Linked DNA regions of Lepisosteus oculatus. The main gene of each other region encodes a partner of the protein of the gene in region 2 in a complex. Links are inferred from orthologs where the notes say so. Each region holds a gene or a part of one and is shown on either strand. Other genes may lie near its edges.

Region 1 (6,828 bases), on a different chromosome or scaffold from region 2:
AGTTCATGTCAGCAGCTTTTATGTGTCGTGCTTCATCTACGCAACACAGGTCAAAAAGAATATGCCCGATAAGTGTGCTGTGTATCAGCACAGAAATTCATCAGCTCCTTTCGCCCTTCCTGATGTTCAAAAGTCTCCCACCTGCTCTGCGCAAGGCCGCAAGCAGAGCACTCTCTCTGTAAGAATATCCCAGCATGAATGTTTTGTGTGGGATTTTAGGGCTCAGGGAGGTTATGGTCTTCACATCCTGCTCCCTGGGGCGAACAGAGACTCTGCATTTGTAAAGAAAGCCCAGGCTGGTGCAAAGACAGAATTCTGGCATTGCAGCAGAGAGACACTGTGTCTCCTAGAGGGTGCTGTTGTAGTGCAGTCTTCTTCAGCAACTTGTTGTGTATACCTGGAGACTAAGTGGAAGGTCAACCACTTTGTCATTGCTGTCCGAAAATATATATGTTCATCCTATTTTTCACATGTTTATTTCCTATCCACATGTGTGCTCTTTCCATCTCTTGCATCACATTCCTACGCTCTCTCTCTCTTTTCGGATCAGGTGGAGATTGTCCAAGCGGACCTGGAGAGCGCCGAGTGGAGGATTGTGGAGAGCTGGGTTCTGGATGGCACCCTCACGCAGATCCAGCAGCTGGTTCTGACAGTGCACTTACAGTGGGCCGGGTTTGAGGTGGGGGGCAGCGACGCAGAGGTTGTGCGGTTCTGGTACAGCCTGATGAAGGAGCTGCACACAAGCGGGTATCGCCTGCTGCACAGTGCCAGGGGGCCTGGCCAGGCCATACTGCACCATGCGCTGCCCAATGCCAGCAGCAGCTACATGCTGAGCTGGGTCAACACGAGGTGGAGCTATTAAGCACACGTTGTTCTCCAGCGCAGTGCTTCCTAATCCTGGTCTGGCAGGAACAGTGTCTTTGGAGTTTTCCTTCAAACAAGTTCTTACTCACAGGCTTTTTGGTTTAATTTAAAGTTATACTTGAGAAATGCAAAATGCATGTTTAGGGGCTGAAAAACAGCCAGAAACTTTGAATTAATCCTATTAGGAAGTCAAATAAAGGTTTGATTGCATGATTGCAAGAGCTTGCCTGGTGTTGGGCCACTGGGACCAGGACTGGGAACCCCTGCCATAGGCCTCTATGTGCTTTGGATAGATTTTGGGACATGTGATTTAACATGTAGATCAAGGGCTGCACCTCCGTCAAAATGCACATTGTCTCTCCAGAATGGTGAAGAGGCAACACTGACTGGAGTCAGTGCTGAGTGGATCAGTGAACCTTAATTTTGATTCGTGATTAATTAGCATATGATCAACAGCCACTTTTACATAATGGCAAAGAAAGAACCACAAAATAAACAATTAAAGTATTTAAATAAGAAATGCTACAACAACTAAAAGAACAATCAAAATCAATACTTTATTTTTACACATTATTTCAAATGGTTTTTAAAACAATTTACATACAGTCTATAAAAACGCTACAAATATTTGCACACAGGCATTTTCATTGCTTTATCACAACCATATCACAGTTCTATACTGCAGAATAGAAAACAATCTAAACATTTAGTGACTACCTACTGCTTATCTATTTTGTCATTGTACCAAAATCTGGTATTGCACTGTGAGAATAAAGGAACATACAAGGGTATATACTTATATGTTTTGCACAAGCTGGTGACCCCTGATTCAAAGTTTTAAGTGTTTAAGACCGGAAGTGAAACTGTTTCAAATTAGGAACTGTGAAGTAAATCGAAGGATACAGTCTCCTGTGTCATGTTTTAATAAAACTACTGGAAATATTGTAAAAGGGTACTATGGAGAAATATGGCTATATCCCATTCAAGCTGTTTTAATTTTCATATTTACATTTGGTGACAAGCACTCATGACGAGTGAAGGCGCTAAAGGCAATAGAAAGTTGACAACGTGGACACTAAGAATTTGTTCTGCTTCCAGGTTGTTCTCACTTCCGACCAGTGTATCCTAAACCTTAATATTGTGATATTTAGACAATGTAAAGCTTTGTTGCTTAAGTAATGTAATTGGAGATGTGTAATCTAGATGCCCTCTACTGGTAATAGATTAAAAAGGAAATGGGACTTGTTTTCTGGTACTGTAAACTCGGACAGGAATCCCCTGCTTAATGGAAGACATCGCTTGCCGTCGGGAAAAAAAAGCTCTAATTTTTTAAAACTTTGTGCGTTGTTGTTGTTTTTTTGTTGTTGTTGTTCTTTTCTGTCTTTGGCACCTTTTGTGTAAGTTTTTTTGTATATTACTTGGGAAATAAAAAAAAAACATGATTATAAAGTCTTAGCAAGATGTCCGTTCAGGGTTCAGTCTGCTGTCGCTTTAGTTTTTCTGAGGTTCCTCATGTTCGCCGAAGTCGACGTGGACGTGGGAGTCTTCCTCGGGGAAGGACCGCGAGGGAATAAAAATGTCCATGATCGCTGAAGCCTCTGAGGAGGAATAAACACTCATAAAGGAAACACGACAACGAGGAGGGAACACCCTAGCCTGCGAGCAGGGAGCACACAAACACACAACCCTTACGCGTTGCAGCACAGAGAAGCAAGCACAGTGTGAGACGTACAGTACTGTAGGAAGACACAAATCCCAAGCTAAACTAGAAACATAGGATTGATACAAACTTGTCTGCAAAAGCGTTACATTGTCTTCAAGCCTTTCGACCAGTGACACTCACTCCTGCGCCCAGGGGGCTGCAGTCACCCAGGTAATTACAGGTAACGCAAAATCATCAATGACTCAAGTCCTGGAAACAGTGAGAATGCGGAGCAATTTAGAGAAGAACTGATTCACATAAAATAATCTGAAGTCCAGAGTGGAATGACCTTTATCTTTTAAAACAATATTGTTCTGTGATTGAATTAGGGATTGATAAAATGACATTGTATAACATCCGAGTTCTTGTTTCATGCATTCTTGACACAGTAGACAAACTGTTCTGTAACAGTTTATTTTTTTGTTATTAATGTAAGTAGGATTTTTTGTTTACTAATTCTTGGACCATGAAACATCAGGTTTATTCCTCATATTATACAGCAGTACCATGTAATGGACTATGTGCACGAAAACCTCTTTTCAAGAACACACAATAAGGCCCTCCCAAATTAAACACGTCATCACGTGATTGATGGGTACAATTATTAAACAAAAAGCTGAATTAAAGATTCTTCTTAACATTTTTAAAAACGTTATAATATTGGGCAGGATAGCCAGTCAGTAAATCGCTGTTGTTCGTGAACAGCTGCAAAAGAGCACGGAGACAAGTAATGCTGATTTTAAAAGACGGTCTATCAGCCAAGACCGATTAAGTCACGTTTGCATTTGATTACAGTGATGCAAATATTACGTGACATCATTATAACACACTACGCAGGCATATACTGTAGGTTTCCGTGTCCCCGACGGGCACTCCCTCAGAAGTCGTTCATTGCGTCAGACCGGGCTGAGGAATGCACAACGCCTCCTCAGAAATACAGAACTCAGAGAAAACGCGATACAGGGCAACGATCTCCTCCCATTCAATGCTATTAACGCACGTCTTCGTGAACTGACCCCCAAAAAGCTAAATTACATGGACGCTTCAGTCCATCATTATCTTCCCCCGAATCCTCTTCGATCGAAGCCGGTAAAACCCTACAGATGTTTACTCCTCTCTCGGGTGGAGTTACGCATTTTACGTCCAAGTTTTCATGGTCCTCCTTGAACTGAAACTGACGTGAGTGAGAGCGAATCAATTCCCAGTATCCTCGCCGCGGTCCAATCACAAGTATGCGTAGGCGGGGCCTTGGCGTAGTTCTGCTTAATCGGTTTTACAGTTGAAGCAGCTATCAAATCTAGACATTTTCTTTTTAGGAAAACTTCAAGCGAGTTGAGATGATGGCTGGTAAAAGCCTTATGTGAGAGCAGAAAGGATCGTTTTCTCGGACCCTCTTTTCCTTTACGGTATGAGTGCTACGTTTTTAAATACTTTCTGGTATGGGGGAGTTATGAGTAAAAAGACAATGTTGCTTCGTGTCTGCAACATTGTGTCGGTAGTCTACTGTAGTTGCTTGAGTTTAATTATGGGTGGTTTCACTTTACTTCCTGCTAAATTGGGAGCCATGAAGTTGACAAGAAACCCTTCGAAAAAGTGTTTTTAGTGATCCGCGGGACGAAGAAAGACAATTCAGTGATGTGGAAAGAAAATAAAGTTGTTAAAATCCGGGATTACGTAGATCGTATGAAGTATCACTGACGATAAAACCACACATTTAATTTTCGCAGCTCACTGCGGCATCGAACTGCCTTATAAAAATGCGATTTACTTGCAGCGATTCGTTTTACTGATTGAGTTGAATGTTCTTTACGATATGTGAAACGTAAAAGAAAACTTTTCTGAAAGAAACGGTGTCTGAACTTTGAATGAGGCAATGGTTCAAAAAAGGAAACCGTGATAGGCCTTGATAACTATCCTGGAAGTGTTTAATAAGTAGACTTCACTTTAGTGGATACCTACGAAGCCCACTGTAGTGCGAGGTACAGGTGATTTATCCGTTACCTATGCACTATATTGTCATTAGGAATAATAATTTTATTTGTATTTTTTTTATTCGCTTTGAAATTTTTGGATACATCCCCCTTTACCTGACGAAGATAAATCCCAACACAGAAAATAGTCCGTTATAACGACCAAATTAGAAATTGATAAGTACTGCCTGGTAAACACAATTTGTGTTTTGCTCCGTTGAAGATTACAAAGCCTACTACAGTACTGGAGACTAATGGTTGATTACTCGAAAGGGGAAGGTTTATGAACAATTTCAATAGACATTGGCGTAAAACTCGTAATTCATGTGGGTTTTCTGAGAGTGAGGATAATCATTGTTCTTGTACACTCCGGGCCAGGGTTTAATAGTGATTAGAAACACAATAATCGAAAAGAAGACCGAAAAGCTAGCCTGACAATACCATGTGCTATTTAAGTAAGCGGATGAGTTGTTTTGACTTGCTGTGAAAAAGGATTAAATGCTTTTAAGACTAAACTATCCAGAACCCAAGCAGGGAAAGCTGCAATAATAACTAATACAAATTCTGAAGTGTTTTTGACAAGTAATTATAGATGTGATGTCTTACTGCTTTTACTACTGCAGAGGTCTCCAGTCCCATCCCTGTAATGCTGAAGCATCCTGTGGTTGTCACTCCTTCCCAGCTGTCACGATAATAAACCAATTGTTGGTGCAATTAGTCAATGCAAGTGTGATATTTACTTGCTAAATGTGGACTCCTGTAAACACATACTGGATTTCTCACAGGGGGGTTCTTTCAACCAAATATTTCTGGGACCCCCTAGCAGGAACGCTGAAACTCTGAGCAACCCTGCAGAGGATCCCCAGAAATCGAAGGAACTTTTCAATCCAAGCAGTGCCTAAAAATCAAAACTCTTCAGCACAGTACAGTGTTTGTCCACCGTCAACATATATCTGTGGATCTGCAGATCTATTTATTTTTATATAATGAATACCGGCCCTGGGCAGCCTGTTGCTGCTGTGGCCAGTATTGCCATGGGGCCCTGGGTTCGGGCCCTGGGGTGCTGTCCGTGTGAGTTTGTAGGTCCTCCGTGTCTTGGTGTGGGTATCCTCACACAGTCCAGAGACATGGTGTTTGGTCACCTGGCTCCTGGGAACAGTGGCTCTGGTAGGAGTGTGTGCATGTCTGTTTGGGGCTGTGTGTTCCCCGGGATGGACTGATGTCCCGTTCAGAGTGCGCCCTGCCTTGTGTCCGCTGCTTGTTGGGATAGGCACTCGCTCTCCCCTCGTGACCCTGAATTGCATGCAGCAATCAGAAAATAGCTAGTAGGACAATATTGGCATTATAATAAAATTGACACCTCCCATTCATTTTGTGTTTAGATATGCCAACATTTTCTTGAAAAGAGGTTATTGTGCACAGAGCCCATTGTGGGGTACTCCTATAGGATGTTACCTCTGAATAAAACTGTAGTAACATGGTTTATAGTTTATTATAGAACTAACTTTTCTATTTTTAAAATTTGTTGCTAAATGGTTAATCTTTTTTTATGTGCATGAAATGTCGATTCTTTGAATTTCTGTCCTGAAAATGGGTATGTGTATTAGAATAGATTGGCTGTGAAATGCAAGTGGCAGCTGTAGGCAGCCATCCTATGCTCATCTATGCAGCTTTATAATAATTTGGATAATTACAAGTTAAGGTCTGCTGTGGTGTTAGTGGGTTTTAGTAAAGATAGGTAAATATTTGCCGGCCCTAGTGATAGAAACACCAGTGACTAATCTGATCGACCTCGGGGAGCCACTAGACCAGCTTGAGCAGGATGTGACTTGTATTCCACCAGGTTTTGAAATTCTTGCAGCCCAGTCCTTTCCCATTCTTCCAGCAGGATTGCCTTGTCTTGAAGTGTGGGGCTGAACTGCACCTTTTCACAGGCTCCACCGGTTTTCAGCAAGACTGTGAGAAGGTGAACAAAGTCTGTCTTAATCTCCTCAAGCCAGCCAGGCAAATGCCTGAGACGAGCTCTTTCATTTGCCGGTAGATGGTACCTGATAGCATGAATCAATATGTTAATGTGGTACCCCACCTGATGTCACATATTTCTGTCTTTCCTAGTTTGTGTTTAGGAAGTTTCAATTTTAGGGTCCCAGCTAGGATGGCAAATGTTTAGCAGCTGGTTCTTCTCTGATTTCATTTTGGAAATGGCAGCATGTGTACATGGCTGATCTCCCACATTGTTTTCATTTTCCAGTTTTATATACAGTCTACAGGCCTCAGCATAGGCAGATTCCA
Region 2 (7,647 bases):
CAAGAGCTACAGTTTCATGGAATGCAGAGACCATGTTGACCATGTTAATGTTAACTGTGGCACAAAGACTCTTGGCCTTCATTACAGATGATTTTTGTGCTCTGATTTTCAGTAGTCTTTTGTCTAGCCTTTGGGTGTAAAGACACGCTTTAACAGCTCAGTGGTGGAATGTATGGAACACCTTAACCCCACAAAAGGGGACGTTTTTGTCAAGTAACAAACAGGAGAACAACTGATACTTAAGTTTGAGCCAGCATCTTATTGTTCCTGTTTAGGTGCAGGAGTATTAAAATACTTTCTGTATGTTTTAAACAGCAGTATATTCTTTCTGTCAGATTTTGCACAGCACAGGCTTAGAGTTTCAGCACCAAGTGGAAGAGGCTAAAGACTTGGACCAGCTGATTAAAATCCATTACAGATACCTCTCCACCATTCACGACCGCTGTCTTCTCCGAGAGAAGGTAGGTCTTGCACTCTGTTAACTCACAACTACTAAGGGACACTGAATTTCCTTGAAGTCTACTGTGCTTTTTATGAAAGAGGAGGTGTAATTCAGATGCATGTTCTCCACTTGTCCATATTGCTCTTGAACTGTACTTTTCCATATATACTGTAGGTAAACCTATGGTTGTACTGGAGTCTGTCCCGAGAAAAGCAACCTGATACACCCCTGGACTCAAAACAACATCTTTACACAGACAGGCTGAAGGAACTGAACCTTTTCAGTGTTCAAAATCCTCAAAGACCCTGACAACCTCAACCCAGCAGGTTTCTCAAGAATGAACACTGAACCACAAACTAGAGGGGACAAGTAGAAACTATATGGAAGTGTTTTTAAAAACAAGAACAGGAGGCATGTCTTTATCCAATGGGTTGTAGCATTGTAGGATAAGCTACCTATCCCAAGTAGTTTAATGAGAACTTCAATGCTATTATTATATTTGGGGTTAATAAAGAATCGGCATTGATGAGTGCATTTCAAACCAAAATGAAAGAAAAATGTATACAATAATGAGTAAAACCTCCAATTTACTTCACAAAATAGCTGAATTTTCCAGGTATGCGCATCACCATGTTCTGCGATTCAGGACAAGGCAACAAAACTTCCGGTGAACTGAAGTGACCCCTATTACTTTGTACACGAGCAGGCTTGTGAATAAATCACTTTTAGTCCAATAGAAATATTGCTCTTGACTTTGAGACGGTTTTGCTGACAAATACTACTTACTTGTTAACTCTGCATGCAGATCAGGTTGGAACATTTCTGCAGTGAAATGTCCCCGTCACAACTTGTACTCATTCACTCGTACATCGCATTACATCAGTCATTATGGTGACTAGTGAGCAAGAAGGGCCACATCACGTCACAATACTTGTGAACTCTCGCTATTACCCCTGGTGAGACCAGAGATTTGTGATAAAATGGCGACTTCCAGTACTTTCACAAAGTTCACAATTTTGTGCTTATTTTGTGCTTATGTGTAAAATTGTTCTATAACATTTAATAATTTAAATACCGGTCTTAGAAATTGGGACTGCAATTTCCCTTTAAGCCTTTTTCATACATCCTGACTTCTTTCAAGAAATGGCTGGATGAGATCCTTACATGAGTTAACTACTGACTACCGAGTGGTATCTTCTCATCTGCAACCCGTCTTATGTTGCTTTGTGTCTTATTGTATTGTGACATGTAAAACACAGAAATGGTGGACTATAGAATCCATAGTTAAATGATTGTTGGAGCAAAAGACAAACGTAGCAATGACTACAATTTTCAGAAAAAAAGTAAAATAAACTTTTTTGCTTGGCAATGCGTTTTGCAGGTTAGTTTTGTGAAGGAGGCAATAATGAAGGTGCTGAATCTCGCCCTGATGTTCTCAGATCGGTGGCAGGCAGGCTTTGGTGCCTGGAAGTAAGTATTAAAACCCTTAATGAAACGCAAGCATGTATTGGTTTGATTTCTCAGTAAATAATACCATGTTAACTGGACATTTGTCTGTGTTTTCTATAATTAAAAACACCAGGATATTCTACTGTAGGCAAGGTGGTGGTTGTCCAAGATCAAACAGTGAAAGAAGCAAATAGTTGTCAAACTTGCCGGAAATAAATGATTGAGTTTGAGTTACTGAGCTAAAATACAGATATTTATGAGGTATTTTTAGACAGGAAGTATTTTGCTCTAAGAAAGGTTTTCCAAATTATATTTAATTTAGCTTAGAAATGCATTGGAACATCAGAACCATAAGAAACTGTTTCACATTTGTTTTAAATGAGTGTGTATACAGTATATGTGTGTTTTTTCTAACGAAGCCTTTTCAGAGAAACTACAAATGTGCAGTGAAATCTTTAGTTGTTAATATAACATTGATACTTTTTTTTTCAAATTAATCTTGGAACTCTTTGCATTTCTAGGATTGAGTCTATTGATAAGATGGAGTCAGATTTCAAGAACTGTCACATGTTCTTGGTAACTATACTCAACAAAGCTGTCTGCAGGGGCTCCTTTCCACACTGTGAGTCATACAGAAAGCGAATTAAATGTTTTATTGGCAATTCAGTTTCTGCTGTTTGTAAAGAGTGAATGAGCCAAAGTTAATCAGATGTTTCACTGGTCATATTCTGCTTTGTGATTAACTGGCAAAAGTTATCAATTAAAAGTTTAAAATTGTTTTTATCTGCAATGTATGATGTCTCTGAATTAGTTTTTGTCAACTGTATTATGTGATCACTGATAATGACAGGTACAGCATCTTCTAGTCTTAAACAGAAGCAGTGTATCAGTGATTAAAACAGTTTGTACCAAAATAATTAAAAGTAATGGAAAAGGGTTTCAGCTGTAGCATTAGTTAGTTCCACTATGTGCAAGCACTAAGGGTTGTTAGAGTATCTGCTCTATCCAGCCCTGTTGCTGAAGCCCCTTCTTCCAAGACAAAAAAAGGCTGCATGAGATCTTTGGATTGATTTGCTAATAACTATCAAACAGATAGATCTCAAGGCCACCTCTTGTTTGCAACTTATTCTTTTTATTGGTAAAAGAGCTAAGAAAAGCACAGCATTGTATGATTTTTGTGTTCTCTAATTTGGTTCTTCTCACTCCTCTTTTCAGTGGAGTCCTTGGCTCTGTCTCTGATGGCTGGCTTTGAGCAGTGTTGAGGATGAGCTACAGAAAGCTGTGAAGCTCCTTGCATCGCTTTGAGCCATTACAGATCCTCAAGAATCATGGAATGTCTGCAAGGCATTCTTTCACAATGCTTATTTTTTCTTTCGTGGCCATCTGGATTTCAAACATCAAAGTGCAAGGGAAGCCCTTTCCGACAACAGGCCTCTGACTTTATTTCTGCTTAGCAAATGCAACAAGGACAGACGTTTGCTACTGTTTCTTGTGCTCTTGGGAGAAAAAAGTGCTCAGTTGCTACTGGAGTATCTTAAATACCCTTCACCTCGGGTGCTCATATTGAGACACTGAAGGCAATAAGAAAACAGGGTACTGAAAATGTAAATATAGTTTTTTGCTGTCTTTGAGATGTGCTGTTTTTGCTCATAATTCACTATTTACAAAAGTGATTGTATAGCAGAGTGAATTAGACTTTTGTTTGCACAATAAATTCTGCTCTCTTAATAAAACCTGCACTGTTTTGAAGAGTCAAATTCTTGCACCTGTTTTTGTTTTTATGACAAGAAAGAACTTTGAGTTAATCTTCCCCTCATTTATTTTTTTCTTGTTATCTGTAAAATCCAAATTGGGGGAGAGAATATGAAGGGTATCCTGTGTTTTGTTGACCATATTAGGCAGCAGCTATGTCACCCTGCAGCTCACAGATGGTCAGGACCTGGATAACGGACATCCTGGGAAAAACTAAGGTTGCTGCTGGAACAGGTATTAGAGGGGCCCGTAGGGGGCGCTCACCCTGTGGTCTGTATGGGTCCTAATGCCCCAGTATAGTGATGGGGACTCTATATTGTAAAAAGGCACCGTCCTTCGGCTGAGACGTAAAACCGAGGATCTTGACTCTCTGCTGTCATTAAAAATCCCTGGGCGTTTCTTGAAAAGAGTAGGGGTGTGTTACCCTGGGGTCCTGGCCAAATTTCCCCCTGGTCTTTACCAGTCGTGGCCTCCTAATAATCACCATCACCTTGTTCTCCTCCCCAATGTTAGCTGGTGAGTGCTCACCATATTGGTGCACTATGGTTGCTGTTGCATCATCCAGGTGAAGCTGCACATTGGTGGTGGTGGAGGGGAGACAAATTAATTTATAACAATGAATTAATAACAAATGGAACTCTGCAGTGAAGGACCTGAAGAAATGAATCATATGGTTGATAATTTCATAGTTATTACTACTCTTCATAGGGTGTGTTTTATTTAGGTTTAAAATGGGATTTGATTCATTTTTTTAAAATTCAATTTTATCCTTAAAAACCGGATTTATTTAAAGACTTTAACGATTTGCCAGTTACTTGACTTGGGCGTATACCGGCCAGCCCATTTAATCTCAGGGCTGAGGGTGGGGGGGGGTTGTTTATTCATCGCCCTCTGGTGGTTCCCTGGCATCCTGAATCCGCAGCGCCCCCAAGCGGCACGACGCTGCAAAGCGCCGCGGCGGAGGGTTTCCTGTCCCACTTCTCCCTGAGAGTCGCAGACAGGAACTCCCAGCTCGGGCTCAGAGCCGAGGTTGGTGTCAGCTGCTGCAGGGATCCTCCGCAACAGGAAGACGGCCGCCCGGACCAAGCTAAAAGTTTCCAGAGAAAGGCCGAAGCGGAGGGAGGTGGCTCTCTTACAGACGGGTTTCGCAGCGCTCCGCTCCCGCTGAATGGGATTTCTGTCCTGAGCGCTCACCATTTCCCAGGAAAACAAGACTGGGTTACGCTTAGGTAGGAAAGTTTGTGTTGTTTCGCTTTGGGTGTTGCCTCTACCCCCCACATGCTGGGCTTTTTAACTTGCGCGCTGCGTGGATTTGTAAGCGGTTTTCTGCCTACGGGCTTTGGGTCGGATTCTGTAGACTTCGTTCTGGGCTGGTGGGCTGCCTGAGCGAGCCGTGCCCCCCCCGTCCAGCCCCGGTGGCGGCAGTGGGATCCTCCCGGGCCTGACCGCTGGGTCGCACCGCTTTGGGAAACTTCGTAGAGCCGGAGCCCCGCCTAGCCTAGCCTAGCCTAGCCTGCGCTGCTCGCGGAATCGCCAGGAAAAACCGCACGTCTTCCCCGGGATTCAGCCTCGGAATTGGGTAAACTGGAAGTTCAAGCCCCCCCCCCATCTTTCGAAGTGTTTCGAAAACTTTTCTTTCCGTGCTACAGCTGAGGCTCGAAACGTCTTCGAGAGACTTGCGTCGCTCCGGCTGCTCCGTGAGCCGAGGAACTTCTAACGCGATGGCAGAGCGACTATTTTAGTGTGGCATAAAAGTTTTTGTCGTAAGTTGTAATTGATACTCATGCTAGCTGCTTTACACCGTGCCTGCGCTTCCTGGGAGACTGCAATTAGAGAGTAGCATTTAGCTGTGTGATTTCAAGTTAATCGTTTTAGTATGGTTAACGCCTTGGACATCTTGCGTTTTTTTTTTTAAATTTGAGGTCTGAAAAGTTAATATCATGGTAAAGATATAGTTTTTGGTGCCTGGGTAACTACCTTGATGGTGGTGCGCTTCCTTTCAAAAATGCAGAATTAAGATTCATAGTACACGGAGGTCACATAGAAGTTTTATATTTGATACTGTAAATATGGAGCTGGTAGCCCAAACACGGGAGAAAAACCGTCGAACTCTGTACAGTTTCATGCGTTAATTGGTTAATAGATATTTCCTACCGACTATAAAAAACATTCCAGGTGGGGGAAAAAAAACAAACGAGCCTGGTTATCTACGTGTCCCTGCAGTCGTAAGAACAGTATTGAGAAAGCACCGCTGTGCTGACTTGCTTCAGACAGCAGCCCTGTGATTTAAAACTGCAGGGGAATGTGCCCTGATGAAATCCTTTCAAGAATACAGCCCGTAATGGATTGCGAGCTGCCTGCTTTTTAACTTCGTAATGCGAATATTCAGCTCGTTTTCAGATTTTTATTCCACTTGGGTCATGAAGGGGAACTATCGGTGTAAAGTTTTCTTACACCCTTTTGTGAAAGCTGTGGCAATGCATTAATATTACTAACTTTTATATGGCACTTAAAAAGTTATTTAAGTACCTTTTTATTTTAATTTTTCCCTGGTATTGTACCGGAGAACCGTTATTTTTTATCTAATGTTTTAAGGGTGCTGTGATAGCTTTGGATACGGGTTAGATCTGTACAATGCAATTTCCTGCTCGTTGGCTAGGAGGGTGTAATAATAGTGTTTCTAGAATTTATCTAGCATTATACCACAAATGATTTGTTGGGAGTTGATTTGCACCCAAAGTGGGTAATAGAGCCTTCTCACATCTCTCAAACTCGCTGCTTTAATCCGTCACGGACTCTGTGACTGTTGAGATTTTTATATCTCATTTAAACTTTTTTTTATTAAAGTAATGGCTGTATAATTCAGTTTTACATGGTCAGTTTTTTATGTGCCTTTCTTTTTTCAAAGTTCTATTTTATGTATTAAACATATGCTGTTCTATAGCGCTCGTCAATAAATTAGTACTAATATCACAGCTTCTAGTCTTTACATAGCTTCTGTCTGTATTTATGTTTTTTTTTTTGGTCTTTTCTAAAACACTTTGAACGTCCAGGCTGTGATTTGTGTGTTGTGGTAAATTATTTGTGTGTTGCGCACAAGGTAAAGAGCAGAGTTTGTGTCTGCTTTTGTGGTGTGCAGCTGCAGATAAGCAAAGATCTAGACCTGAAGGTCTCTCCATTGTTTTAATTTTTCCTTCCTTGGGAGTTGAGTTAAATAATGGTGTTTGTCTGTGTCTATAGCTGCTCCGTACGTTCACTGCTGCACCAGTGAGAAAGAAACCCCTGTGTGTGGGTGGTTCCAGCACAGTTTACAGTGTGACAGACATTCATTCTCACCTACACGCCCACTCGTGAGTGGGGGTTCTCTCAGACCAATTTCTTCGGCAGATTCTCCTTCACTTTTTTTTTTGATTTTACGGTGCATTTGGCTTTTGAGGAGTTTCACTTTTTTTATTTCTTTTGATTTTCGTCAGTGTTTTACACGTTTGCCTGGATTTCTGATCTGCGCTGCCTTTTTGTTCCGCCGCTGAAAAGGTGTTTTGGAGGAAGAAGGTTCCAGTTTTGGACAAGGGTAATTATACCTCTCTGATAGACCCACCCTGCTGTGTGGTAATGAGGGTTTCTTTGGTGAATAGGGTACTCATTTAATGAGTGAAGAATTCCAAGCGGGCATTTTCTTCTGCTATATCAAACCTGGCTGATCTCACAAGGGGGTGAGAGGTAATTACGCTGGTTAGGTACCTGGTGGTTTAAGCTTCTAGCACAAAAGAGGAAACATTTGTTAGAACACTTGCAAAAGAGATACTGAAGGTAAATTGACCACAACATTGCAAATTGCAGCATTTGAGTTCTGATTCAAACCAAGAAAGAGCGACTCTACCCCCGTAGGTTCTTTGTATAATAGGATTATTGCAGAGAACGTTCAGTACCGCTGGCATTTCAAATCAATTGAAAAACCGAACTAGTAAAAAAAATATCTGCATTGCCTGGCCTTGTTCTCTTTA

What was found.
Region 1: cyfip1 (region 2) and wasf2 share a complex: the UniProt entries of both Homo sapiens proteins name them as parts of the WAVE2 complex. The link is inferred for Lepisosteus oculatus from reciprocal best matches to the Homo sapiens genes CYFIP1 and WASF2.

Annotation. Positions count from the first base shown.
Region 1 is NC_090706.1:8,898,867-8,905,694, forward strand, and holds the start of wasf2 (actin-binding protein WASF2), read left to right. Parts: upstream 1-3,812; 5' UTR 3,813-3,972; intron 3,973-6,828. Other genes in the region: probable methyltransferase-like protein 24, read left to right, coding at 551-862. UniProt on the Homo sapiens protein: Downstream effector molecule involved in the transmission of signals from tyrosine kinase receptors and small GTPases to the actin cytoskeleton. Promotes formation of actin filaments. Part of the WAVE complex that regulates lamellipodia formation.
Region 2 is NC_090710.1:22,086,655-22,094,301, forward strand, and holds the start of cyfip1 (cytoplasmic FMR1-interacting protein 1 homolog), read left to right. Parts: upstream 1-4,625; 5' UTR 4,626-4,872; intron 4,873-7,647. Other genes in the region: tubgcp5 (gamma-tubulin complex component 5), read left to right, coding at 336-461, 1,824-1,912, 2,413-2,513, 3,107-3,153. UniProt on the Homo sapiens protein: Component of the CYFIP1-EIF4E-FMR1 complex which binds to the mRNA cap and mediates translational repression. In the CYFIP1-EIF4E-FMR1 complex this subunit is an adapter between EIF4E and FMR1.